Linked DNA regions of Oryctolagus cuniculus. The protein of the gene in region 1 purifies or fractionates together with the protein of each later gene. This does not show direct contact. Links are inferred from orthologs where the notes say so. Each region holds a gene or a part of one and is shown in the gene's direction. Other genes may lie near its edges.

The links. Proteins that work in one complex are often made in the same cells at the same time.
Region 2: the proteins of DMWD (region 1) and USP12 purify together in Homo sapiens (affinity purification with mass spectrometry; 3 studies listed by BioGRID and IntAct, with this or other methods). This does not show direct contact. The link is inferred for Oryctolagus cuniculus from reciprocal best matches to the Homo sapiens genes DMWD and USP12.
Region 3: the proteins of DMWD (region 1) and USP46 purify together in Homo sapiens (affinity purification with mass spectrometry; 5 studies listed by BioGRID and IntAct, counting the BioPlex papers as one, with this or other methods). This does not show direct contact. The link is inferred for Oryctolagus cuniculus from reciprocal best matches to the Homo sapiens genes DMWD and USP46.

What each region holds. Positions count from the first base shown.
Region 1 is NC_091449.1:11,217,774-11,221,980, forward strand, and holds the start of DMWD (dystrophia myotonica WD repeat-containing protein), read left to right. Parts: upstream 1-1,402; 5' UTR 1,403-1,499; coding exon 1,500-1,940; intron 1,941-3,473; coding exon 3,474-3,656; intron 3,657-4,207. UniProt on the Homo sapiens protein: Regulator of the deubiquitinating USP12/DMWD/WDR48 complex. Functions as a cofactor that promotes USP12 enzymatic activity.
Region 2 is NC_091440.1:87,334,985-87,339,150, forward strand, and holds the start of USP12 (ubiquitin carboxyl-terminal hydrolase 12), read left to right. Parts: upstream 1-1,365; 5' UTR 1,366-1,811; coding exon 1,812-1,859; exon of another isoform or gene 1,860-4,166. UniProt on the Homo sapiens protein: Deubiquitinating enzyme that plays various roles in the regulation of the immune response and inflammation.
Region 3 is NC_091439.1:110,974,137-110,978,197, forward strand, and holds the start of USP46 (ubiquitin carboxyl-terminal hydrolase 46), read left to right. Parts: upstream 1-1,260; 5' UTR 1,261-1,411; coding exon 1,412-1,447; intron 1,448-4,061. UniProt on the Homo sapiens protein: Deubiquitinating enzyme that plays a role in behavior, possibly by regulating GABA action. May act by mediating the deubiquitination of GAD1/GAD67.

The sequences.
Region 1 (4,207 bases):
GCTGGCAGTGCCTCCAACTCTGGCCCCACCGTCCAGGGTTTCACTTTGTCTTGACAGCACTAGGGAGCCCTGGGGGTCGGGGGTGAGCAGGGGAGGGCCCTGACCGCACTTCTGTTCTGCAGGGCTCCCTCTAGGGCCAGGCGTTGGGCACCGTGGCTGAGACCCCCGCTGCTTGGGGGCCCACGCCCCACATCACAGTGCCTGGGTTTGAGTCCTAACCTCTGCTCCCAATCCCAGTTTCCTGGAATGTGCGCCCTGGGAGGCAGCAGGTGATGGCTCCTATCTGAGACCCGGGTGGCTCCGGGCTTTGGCCTGGCCCAGCCCTGGCTGTTGCAGGCATTTGGAGAGTGAGCCAGTAAGTGGGATATATATATATATATATATATATATATATATATATATATATATGAAAGAAGCAAGGCCCTCCAGATACCACATGGCGGCAGAGGGAGTGAGACAGGAGGCTGGAGATCAGACAAGGCTGGTGCGGGAGGCTCAGGGCTGTGAAGAGGAGAGGAAGGCCTGGGTGTGGAGGTGACGAGACACCAGCTCCCGGGCCCCATGACTGAGCGCGTGGCAGCACAGCGCCATGGTGAGGCCTAAGGACTGGCAGGAAGGGGGCAAGGTCGTAGGACTCGTTGAGTGGGAGATGCCCCCTGGGAAGTCCCTGTGAGGAATCCAGAAGCCACCGAGTCCGTGGGACTAGCAGGCTCTGCGTTGGGGGCAGGGTCGGCTTCCCCAGGAGAGGGGCGTGGCTCTCACTGCGGGCAGGTGGGTCACCGGGGACATTGGCGGTATTGTGGGACCGAAGACATTCTGGGGTCATAGCTGGGTTTAGGAAGATGAGGTGACTGAAGGCGGTGGAGTTACGGAGGTACGTAACGGAGGGGGTACACTATACGGAGGATGTTTGGGGTTACTGTTAATCAGTAGCGGGTCAGATGAAATTCTTGGAGTTTCTGGGGCCAGCAGGGATGGGGGGAGGGAACCCATGGTGCGGGGGTGGGTAGGGGAGTAATGGTTGAAGATGCTATCAGGGTCTTCAGGAAGACAGTGGAAAACACGAGGTCCGGACGGTGCGGAGACTCTAAAGGAGACGCACTGGGGTCAGCTGTGACGTCATAGAGAGGCCGGGTCAGGGAGGATGCCTTCCTTTGCTGGTCCCTGCGTTGCTAGGCAAACGGTTCCTAGGGCGCTGTTGCTAGGGACCGGAGCGCTCAACTGACCACGCCCCCTTCCACTGCGGGCCACGCCCCACAGCCAACCAGGAGCCGCTCACAGGCGCGGAGGCCACGCCCACCGCCCCGCCCCGCCCACAGCCCCCGGACCGTTACCCGAGCGACGGTCGCGGTTCGTCCCGCCCTCGGATCCGGGTGCCAATCGAAGAGGCGTCGCCGGGGCGACGACCCCACCTCTTCCGGCGCGGTCCCGCGGCTTCCGGCAGGGGGCCCGGCGGCGGGCGACTGTCCGGCAGCTGCGGGGCCCGGGGGGCGCCCAAGATGGCGGCGGGCGGCGCGGAGGGCGGCTCGGGCCCCGGCGCCGCCATGGGGGACTGCGCGGAGATTAAGTCGCAGTTCCGCACCCGCGAGGGCTTCTACAAGCTGCTCCCCGGGGACGGCGCCGCTCGCAGGTCCGGTCCGGCTTCCGCCCAGACCCCGACGCCGCCCCAGCCGCCGCAACTCCCGCCCGGCCCTGCCGCCGCCTCCGGCCCCGGCGCCGCGGGCCCCGCGTCGTCCCCGCCGCCCCCCGGCCCTGGGCCCGGGCCCGCGCTGCCCGCCGTGCGCCTCAGCCTCGTTCGCCTCGGGGAGCCCGACGGCGCCGGGGCCGGGGAGCCGCCGGCCACGCCCGCGGGGCTGGGCGCGGGGGGCGACCGCGTCTGCTTCAACCTGGGCCGCGAGCTGTATTTCTACCCGGGCTGCTGCCGCCGCGGGAGTCAGCGGGTGAGGCCTGGGTGCTGAGGAGTGAGGGAGGGCCCGCCGTGGGCAGCCCAGGTGTGGCGGCCATCCCGGGCAGACGGGCCGCTGGCAGGTCATGCGGCTTTGGGAGGCGTGACAGGAGGTCCTCGCGATGCTGCGTGGGCGTTGAGGGTCGAGCGGGGGCATCAGAGATGAGGTGGGGTCCCCGGGCCCTAGGGGGCCGGCGCTCTGCCGGTGCTTGGGAATCCCGAGGTGCCGCAGGCTCAGGGGCGTCTGCAGGTGTGGTGGGGGGTGGTCCTTGAGACTCGGGGAGCCCAGGGCTGTAACAGGCCTTTTGAGGGTGACCCGGTCAGCAGCTGGGGGATCCGAGGCCATGAGAGGCCCTGGTGGGGAGAGCCCCAGGTGTCGGCATCGCTACAGGACCGGGGTGGGGGAGTTGAGGGGCCTCTGCAGTTTATGGGGGTCCCCAGGAATGAGGGGATCTGGAGAGCCCAGAGCTATGAGGGTAGCAGAAATGTGGGGGTACCATGAGGCCGGCTGGGTCCCTGAACGGGGGGGTAGGGTCGTGAGGTTTGGGGGCTCCAGATGGGAGGGAACCCTGGGACGCCGGGCTTTAGCGTTCCAGGGGATTGTGGGGCCCCGAGGTTTTGGGGTCTCAGAATGTTGTGCCAAGTCCCAAGGGAGCTGCTGAAGCTCCAGGTTGGGGCAGGGCTGGGAAGAATCGAGCTCAGGGCCCAGGGGACCCCGAACCCTGCAGGCAGGGTGGCCCCGGCTTCGGCACGGCTGGGTCGGGGCTGTCGGGCAGGGTTCCCGGGGCGGGGGCTGTAGGGCAGTGTGTCCCTGGATTCGGCACGGCGGGGCAGGGGCTGTCGGGCAGGGTGTCCCGGGGTGGGGGCTGTCGGGCAGGGTGACCCCGGATTCGGCATGGCGGGGCAGGGGTTGGTGGGCAGGGTGACCCCAGATTCGGCACAGTGGGGCAGGGGCTGTCGGGCAGGGTGTCCTGGGGCGGGGGCTGTAGGGCAGTGTGACCCCGGATTCAGCATGGTGGAGCAGGGGTTGGCGGGCAGGGTGTCCCGGGGTGGGGGCTGTCAGGCAGGGTGACCCCTGATTTGGCACGGCGGGGCAGGGGCTGTCGGGCAGGGTGTCCCAGGGCGGGGGATGTCGGCCAGGGTGACCCCGGATTCGGCACGGCGGGGCAGGGGCTGTCGGGCAGGGTGACCCGGATTCGGCACGGCGGGGCAGGGGTTGGTGGGCAGGGCGTCCCGGGGTGGGGGCTGTCGGGCAGGGTGACCCCGGATTTGGCACGGCGGGGCCAGGGTAGTCCAGCCTCTGGAGGCGCCGTGGGGAGGGGTGGAGACCCTCATAGTCATTTTCCCCTCTACTGTGTGTGATCCAGGCTGCCTTCCTGTCTGTGGCCGCCCCCTCCCCGCGCCGGCTGCCCACTTCCCTCAGGGATTTAACCCTGCTTCCTCTCGGTGGTTCCCCCAACCTCAACACCCTCTTCCTTCCTCCCCTGCAAACCATCAACTCCTCCCTCCTCCTCCCTCCTCCCCCCAGTCCATCGACCTCAAGAAGCCCATCGACAAGCGGATCTACAAGGGCACGCAGCCCACCTGCCACGACTTCAACCAGTTCACCGCCGCCACGGAGACCATCTCCCTGCTGGTGGGCTTCTCAGCCGGCCAGGTGCAGTACCTGGACCTCATTAAGAAGGACACCAGCAAGCTCTTCAATGAGGAGGTGAGTGCCGCGCCCGGGCCGCGGCGGCCATGAGCGGAGGGGGAGGGGCAGGGAGACAGGTGACGGTCGGAACAGCGCGGTCCCGTGCCCAGCACCACACGGCTGAGTTGTCATGGAGAGGTGGGTGCGGATCGGGGCGCCCACTTCACAGGCGGGAAGACTGAGGCTGGTGGTTAGCTGGGAGTCGCTCGCTGCCCCTGCTCCACCAGTAGCTCACCCGTGACCTTGGGAAGGCGCCCGGTCCCTGAGCCTTGGTTCTCCTCCTCCGCAGAAAGGGATCCGCGTCCACGCCTCCTAGGGCCACTGGAAATGAGCGCAGGCAGCTGTGTCCGGGTGGCTGGGCGCAGGCGCCACAGAAGCCCTTGTCTGCGGCGGGGACGCCGTGTCCCACGGCCTGTGTCTGCCTGGCAGGAGGGAGCCGGTGGGACGCTGAATGGGCGAGAAATCGATTAGCTCCTTGCAGTGAGTGCTGCCCGTGCCAGGTTCCGGCCGCCGGAGGCGGGGGCGGGCCCTGAGCGGAGCTGGCCATGTGCCAGCAGGTGGCCACACTG
Region 2 (4,166 bases), on another chromosome or scaffold:
CTTTCTTGTGCCTAGCAAAAGTTGACTTTGTGTACAGTTGACTCTTGGGGGTTCTTCTGAATACGTAAGTTACAGAATATACCCAGATAGCTTCAGGACCCAAGCAAGGAAATGAGCTGGGGCTGAAGCTCGTCTATTTGGTCAGCACAGTGCTTTTTGTTTGAGCAGATAAGCCATTGCGAGGCTCTGCAGTTAGGAACCATGACATTCATTGGGAATTCAGCTGTCTCCTACATGGCGTCCAGGGGCTGGGAGATGCTGGGAGGGGTAGAGGACTTGCCTCTTGGCTTCCCTCCCTAGGCTTGACATGAATGCACAGAGGTGAAAACACGGCCTTAGCCACTAACCCGGCATCAAGGGCAGGAGGGAGAGTGCCTAGCCTCGCAGAAGGCAGGCACGGGAGAACGAGGCTGGCTACCTTGGCACGCGGCTGCACCCACTCGGCATTTCTTCACTCCCAAGCAAGCTTATAACAGAATCACTATGGAAACAGCATTCACGTAGCAGAAATCCATTCTTCATCCAAACGTAGCTCGCTTTGTTTTGGTGTTCGAAGGCTTTGAATCTATACCTAATTTTAGAGGTCGGCCTGAATTCGGGCCTTTAGCCCTGCTGAAATGCTGGAACCCCAGAAAAGCACCCCGTCACTAGTTCAGCTGTCAAACAATCACATCCAAAGCTACCCGACCCACCTGAAGTCCTTTCTTAAATAAAAGAAAACAAAACTGAGCTGCCAGACACGAAGAGCAGGGTGCATGTACGAATTTTTAGAAAAGTAGCATAAAAAAGGAGCTATCATCCCACTAACTAACCCTGCTTAAGTATGAATCTCTGACATTTTGCTGGGCTCACTTTCCTTGTTCCCGTGACACCATCATCACTGTCGGGCTGAGACCCTCTCCACTTCGCAGCTCAATTTGCCGATCATTAGAAACATTCTAAATTTACAGCGACAGGTTGACAAGCAGGCAGGCAGGTAGGGCTCGCTCCCTTCCCCTCCCCCACTACTTACCCTTCCTTTTAATTCAAACATACTGTGTTTATTGCCTCGCTTTTAAGTAGCTAGCCTTTTTGTAAGCTACAGCGTTTGCACCCAAATTCTGAACAAAGAAACAAACCTAGCGCTTGAGACTAGCCCCGGGATAGCTTCACTGTACAAGAGCAGCTTTTCTCTCTCTCCACACACAATTTTCCGAATCCTGCTCCAGGATTCGCCCAGCGGCAGCCGCCGCGGCTCCACCCGGTTCAGCGCCCGCAGCCCGGGCTCTGCGGCCCTCAGGCTCTAGGACCGCGCGGGACGCGGGCAGGAGGCGCGCCCGCCCTGGGCTCCGCCCCCGGCCGCGCGCCGGGAGGGGCTGGGCCCGAGTCCCCGGGCTCGCGCTCCGGCGCCGGGGCCGCGCGCGGGGCGGTCCGAGCGCGAGCGGGGCGGTGCCGCGGGGCCGCGCAGCTGCCGGGCATTAGGGCCTCGGCGGAGCCCGCTCCCCAGCGCACTGGGCGGGGTGTGCGGCGGCAGGCTTCGCGGGCAGGCGCGGGCCCCGAGGCAGCGGCTGCGCCCTGCGCCGGGGCGGAGCCGGGGGCGGGCGGGCGGCCGGCAGGCGGGGGCTGGGGCCCGAGGCAGGGAGTGCCTGAGCGCCGGCGGCGACGACGGCAGCGGCGGCCCAGCAGGCTCGGTGCGTGGGTCTGCGGCGGCTCGGGGGTCCGCCCGCGGGCTGCGGTGCGAGCGGGCGGCCCGGCTTCCCTCCTCCCCCGCCCGCCGCCGCCGCCGCTGCTGCCGCCGCCGCTGTGATTGGGTAGAAGATGGCGCTGGGCGGATGGAAATCCTAATGACAGTCTCCAAATTCGCCTCCATCTGTACCATGGTAGGTGCGGCGCGGGCGGCCCGGGACTCCTCGGACGGGCGGACGGCCCTGCTCGCCGTCCCTCAGCTCCGCTGGCGGGGGCCTGGCGCGGGGGCGGGCGGCCCGGGCGGGGGCGGTTGGACGGCGCGCGGGCGGGGAGCGCGGGCGATTAGCGGCCCCCGCGGCCGAGGAGGCGCCCCGCGGGCCGGGCTGCGAGGGGCGATCGCCGTGCTGGACGTGGCCAGGGGGCTGGGGGCGGCCACCGGCCTTGGCGAGCCCGGGCCGCCCTGCTCCGGTCTCTGCTGGGCGCAGCCGGCCTGTGGGAGCGCGGCGGCGGGCTGGGGGTCGCAGGGGCAGGGCCGCGGGGCCGCGCCGTCTCCGTTTCCGTGTGGCCGGGCGTCGGCGGCGGGGGCGGGGGTCTGCGGGCAGGAAGGAAGGGTCTCGGCCGGCCGGGCTGGGCAGGCTCGCTGCTGCCCAGGCGAGGACGGAAGTCAAGTGTAGGTTTGCTTCTGGTGGCTGTGGCCAGGCAGAAGTGCGACCCCGTGCCAGGGGCGCCGTGAGTGTGAGTGTAGGTGGAAACTTTAAGTAAGTGGCGTGGCCGTTCTCTGCGTTTTCTGCTCGCCCAGAGGAACCCCGTTTCCAGCGTGTGTCCAGGTGTCAGGCTTGGCCCCGGCATCCACTTTAATCTCGGAAAAGCAGCTTTCCTCTCATTTGCTCACTTTAATCCCCCAGGCGCATCTGTGTGCAGCGGCCAGCGTCCCGTTGCGGGGCTGACTGCAAGGGCGGTGGTATTTGTTTCATTAGGGCCTTTTGAACAGACTTCAAGGGAGAAGTGCGGATGCGCCTTCGGAGTCTCCAGTTAAGCTTTCTGAGTGCATGTAGAACTTGGTGTTTCTGTGCCTGGCCCGAAGGACCACATTTTTCCACATGATGGGGCAACTTCCTTTCATTAGCTCCTTAAGAGCTTATATGTCGGGATCGTAATTTATGAGTCATCGCCCAAAAAAGTTATTCTTTCCTACGTGAGCCTGGTGGTTATGGTACTGAAGACTTGTGAAGTCTTTTGTTCCTGGTCTCACGAGCTCTTTTTCACGCGTCGCAATTCCTAAGAGATCCCGGGGCAGCCTTGCACCTAATGTCTCCCTACTTTGAGCAGTTAGGTCGCAGAGATGCTTGTAAGAGGCAGTTTCTCTCCTGGGTGTTGAGGAATAATTTCAAAATATGGCCGAAATCAGGTGGGCTTAAAATCTACCCTGGACAAGGAAGAAGTCATGTGGAAGAATGAGTCATTGAAGAATCCCTTTCCCCAAACGGGTGTTTGTTCTTTCTCACGATTTACATTTGAGGAACGCATTGGTGAAGGGACTCTATTAAAATGATTTCCAAGGTTGGTGTGAGCTCGTTATTTGTAGACACGCCAGTTATTATCTGTCGATTTCAAAGTGAATGTGATAATTAAGTCTTTGACAGTGATAATTTTGCCAAATGGCTGAGTGTGCACCTCGTGGGGTCATAGTTCATTGTCAAAGGCTAGGGTTTCAGGATTGGGTGATCCTCTTTACTGTTCATTCATGTGCTAAAAACTGTGCTGAGTGCTGGGGATCCCATAGTTTCTGCTTTCATGGTGTTTACCTTCTAGTCGAGGGAGGCAGACACTATTCAAGTCTCTCTGTCTCTGTGTGTGTGTGTGTGTGTGTGTGTATTTGCTGAAGTCACATCAGGAAAACGAGGCACAGAGCTTTGCAAGGTCATACATTATGTCAGTGGCATTCTGATCTGAAGAATGTCAGACTGTGAGGCTCTTTCTAGGGTTTCCACCCAGTACATTAATTGCAGATTGGTGCACTTATTGTTGGCAAAATGTCCATGCCTGGCCAAGTGAGGCTGTTCCAAAGGTGCTATTAAAATTGGGTGTGTCTTTATTCATATTTGAATAAATTCTAATGGCCTCCCAAATAGTACTGAATTTCTGGAAGTAGGTTATAAGTTATTCTTTAAATGCAGCTGTCAAGCATCTTGTGAGAATTACAAAACTGAAAATCCAGAACAGCGAAGTTACTTATCTCTATGCTGTTTTTGCCAGACTGGGAACACCCTACCGTGTCCTTGTGTGGCAAGTGTGTACCTGTCTCTGTTACACAGGTAGCCTTCCTTGAATAACCCTGCCCCTGTCCAAAACCACCCCTCCCCATTCCTCATCATAGAAATTCACAGAGTTTTTGTAATCTCAGTAGCATTTACCATACTGTCTTGTAGAGTTTCCTCATCTCTTGTTAGGTTGGGAGGGCTTTCAGGAGAAGGACTATAATTTATTTATGCTGTTTTATC
Region 3 (4,061 bases), on another chromosome or scaffold:
ATGTCATTCACTGCCTGGGCTTCACTCTGGCTGTTTCGAATCTGCGGCAGGCTAATTTTTAAGAGATAACCTGGTATGGTCTGCAAATGATGTTATAAATTTCCAAATGGCTCCCCACCCTGTCCCATGTTACTGAGCTGCAACAGGAGGGGGGGATCGCACCCAGCAGGTGACGGAAGGTCACAGAAAAAGGTGCTGAGGACTGACGATGGGGAATCAGCAAAGTGGGCTCATCCGGATCTATTTGTAAATAAGATTCAGGTAGAGCGATTTAACATAAGTGGAGATACTAATCCTTAAATCCCTTGAAAAATAGGGTGATGACTTGCCCCCCCCCCGCCCCCAACCTTCAATCCCTACTGGGTCCTAGGGATGTTAGCCTCAGTGGCTCGGAACCTCACCCGCATAACCCCACGTCTTCCGATGAGCTCATCCTTGGTTGGATAAAAGTTGTCCTCCATTATACTAATTTCTCTTCTAATTCCATTTTCCATTTGCATACATTGCTTTCGGAATCTGTCACGCGCTCCACTCACGGGATGGTAGCCCTGTGTGTAGAAGTTGCTCACGTCTGGAGACCACACCTGCCAAGCTGTGCGCTGAGAGCCACAAGTTACGACCCCAGAGGTGGACCGGGTGCGCCGACAGCGCCCACCTCGAAACCTAAGCGCTGGGTCTCCCTGGCAGGGGTGCGTCTTCCTTGAGGAACTGGCAAAGTCCTGTTCTGGCTGCTTCCACCCCTGCACGGTCCCTGCCCCCTGCCCCCTGCCCGGCACCGGACTCCTCCTTGGTACCTGCACCACCTGAGCGCACGCATCCTGGCCCTGCCCGCCCTTCCCGGGCGCAAGGCCCGGCCGTGCTGGCCACGGCTTTCTGACCACTGTCCTGTCCTGACCCCATTTTCCACCCTGGGTCCCCGCCGGTGTCGTGCGACAGGAGAAAGGAAAAGTTGGACGTGGTCACTTTGACCCCACCCCCGGCCCGGCCCCAGCTCGGAACCCCGGGGCTGCGGGGGCGGGAGGGAGACCCGCGACCAGCAGGCGGCCTAGGGCGTCCCCAGCGCCGCGCGCTGCCCGGGCACACAGGCGGGGCCCGCGCTCCGCGAGGCCTGGCCGCGCGCTCCGGCCCGCAGCGAGCGCGCCGGGGGCCCCCCGCGCGAGGCGGGGGAGGCGGCGGCGGGCGGGGCGCGCGGCGGCGGCGCGGACCCACGCGCTCGGGCCGCCCCTCCTCCCGCGCGCGCCCCGCCCCCGCCGCCGCCTCCCGGCCCCCGCCCTCCCGGCCTCCTCTCCCGGCCGAGCTGGAAGCCGGACCCAGGCCGCCGGGCCCGGCCTCGCCGCGCGCGCCCGCCATGGCCCGTGCCGTTCTCCCCTGGTAAAGATGGCGGTGCGCGCTCGCCGCCACCTTTAGACCCATGACTGTCCGCAACATCGCCTCCATCTGTAATATGGTGAGTGCCGCCGCGCCGGGCCACTAAGGGGACCCGAGCCGCGCGCACGCCGGCGCCGGGGCGCGGGCCAGGGCGCGGGGCCCCGCCGGAAGTTCCCGGCCGGGCCGGGCGCGCGGCCGAAGCCACCCCCACCCTGGGACCTGTGAGACCGGGGACCCGGGGCCGCACCGCCGTGCCCCCACCTCGGGTTGCGGTGGAAGCGTCGGGGGCCGGGAGGCAGCGACGCCCCGGGGCAGGGCTGCGGGCGAGGAAGCCCCGCTGTGCCCCCGCGCCGCCCCCTCTGGGTCCGAGTTCAGCCCTTGGGCTTCGCCTGAATCCACTTTGCAGCGGCAGTCGGTGGTGGTCTGCAGAAACCTGCCGTGTGATGGAGCTGTGGAAAAAGTGCGGTTGGGGAAGTGAACTTCAACCTGGCCTGGGAAGGCGCCGCGGTGGTGGGGTCTCATGCCGCGGTTTCCCCGTCTCTGCAGAGGGGGGCGGGGACCTGGACGGGCAGGAGGGCTCCGGGCTGCCCTGCCTGATCCCCCGCGGGCCACCGGCTGCTGGCTGGCGTGCACCCGGCCAGGGGCTCTGCAGTGGGCCCTGACGGGGGTCTGGGGCCGTGGCCTGGTGGGGACTGTAGTTTCTGTTTCTCCCATTGCTTTCTGCAGCAGCAGCTCCCACTGAGTCCCCAGAGCCAGCCCTGCCCGTCTTCCCCTTGTCATAGCCCTGGGGAGCCCGGCTTGGGGTCAGGATGAGTGTGTGTCTGCATGCTCCTGCCCCTTGCCTGGCCTTCCCCGGCTGCAACGCGTGCTCCTGGGGTGCCACTTTGAGGCCGGGACCCCGAGGAGGCTGGGGGTGAGGTGTGCCGGCCGCCCCTCCTCCATCTCGGGCTCTTCTCTGCTTCTGCCCCACATTCTGTTGCAAGAGCCACACCGGCAGAGGAGCACGGAGAAGCCTTGTGTTAGCTCAGGGGCGGCTTCGGCTCTTAGCTCCGTGGGACTTGGCCACACTTGGCCGGGTGAAGGCTGGGGCGTCCCGGAGTGACAGCGGCACAGGTGTTGACATGGGGTGGGCTCCGTGGGGGGCTCCTGTCTCCTCTCCCTTCCTCTCTTTTTCCACGAGGAAGCGGGTTTCCTGCTTTTTGTCGAGTGGCGTGAACGCAGCTTGGTGCCGCTGGAGGAGATGTTTTCTCCTCGCTTCCCCTCGGCTGCTGCCAGTCCTGAAGCCACAGCCGCCGAATGCCTGCCTTCGGGCCTGCCGAGTAGCCAGGCTGGCCCTGAAACCCTGGTGCTGTTGACACCGCTCAGTGTGGAAGCAGCTTGGGGGACGCCGGCCTCCAGCTGCACCGCGGGCTTCTAGCGCACCTGGCTCCCGTGAAACACGCCAGGGAGAGGAGCCGCAGGAGGACAGGACAGGCAGGGGGGTGGCAGGCCCTTGCTGTGTCCGCGAGTGGGACCCCCGTGTGTGCAGCCCTGAAAGCCTGGCGGACCGAGGAGCTGCGCGCAGGCCAGGGGAGTTTTCTGTTCGCACGCCGGTCCTGTGTGTGGGGCGCGTGAGGCAGTTTCCGCTCTCAAGGCCTTGCCACTGCTGCTTCTAACTTAACGCCTCCCGGTCTTGGGGACAAGTTGCTCTTCTTTCCTTATCTTCAGTAAAGGGAGGATACTGGCTCTTACCTCATCCGGACAGTCGTGGCCGGCGCCTCACTGGGGTGCTGGGGCCGCTAGCAGTTGAGGTCAGCACCATCCTTCTCGGACAGGCCTGCGGTGGTTTTGGGCACTGGGGAGATGATGCATGGATACTGACAGCCCACCTGCTGCTTGGTGCAGGCCAGGGGAGGGCGGTGTGTGCAGAGGCTGCTCGGGGACCCCGCCCCTCCCAGCTGGCCTCCCACACATACCTGGAGTGGGCTGGGGATGAGGGGACTGCTGTGTTGCCACCCCATCAGACCTAAATGTTCTTTACACCCTCTTTAGAGGCTTTCCTCAGTGTGAACTGTTTCCAGCGCTGTCTTCTGGCTGGCTCCTCCCAGGGCTCAGCTTCTCTCTGGGGGCTCGAACTGGCCCTGCCCCTCCCAGGTCCACACACTCCCAGCTGTTTGAGTCGTTGTAGTAAGAGCCCGGGGGATTGCATTTTCATTTTTTATTTATTTCTTTTTAAAGCAATTTTTATTTTTTTAAAATATTTATTTGAGAGGCAGAGAGATGGATCTTCCATCCACTAGTTCACTCCCTAGAGGGTTGCAGTGGCCACAGCTGGGCTGATTTGAAGCCGGGACTGGGTCTCCTATATGGGCGCAGGGGTGCAATCAATTGGGCCATCCTCTGCTGCTTTCCCAGGCGATTAGCAGGAAGCTAGATCGGACAGAAGTGGAGCAGCTGGGACTTGAACTGGTGCCCGCATGCTATGCTGGTGCTGCAGGTGGAGGCCTAACCCACTATGCCACAGCGCTGGCCCCTATTTCTTTTTTTTTTTTTCTAAGATTTACTTATTTATTATTAAAAGAGTAAACACAGAGAGAGGGAGGGACAGAGAGAGATTTTTCCACCCTGTGGTTTACTTAAATGGCTGCAAGGCTGGGTACCAGGAACTCCATCTATGTCCCTGATGTGGGTGCAGGGGCCCAAGCACTTCTGTT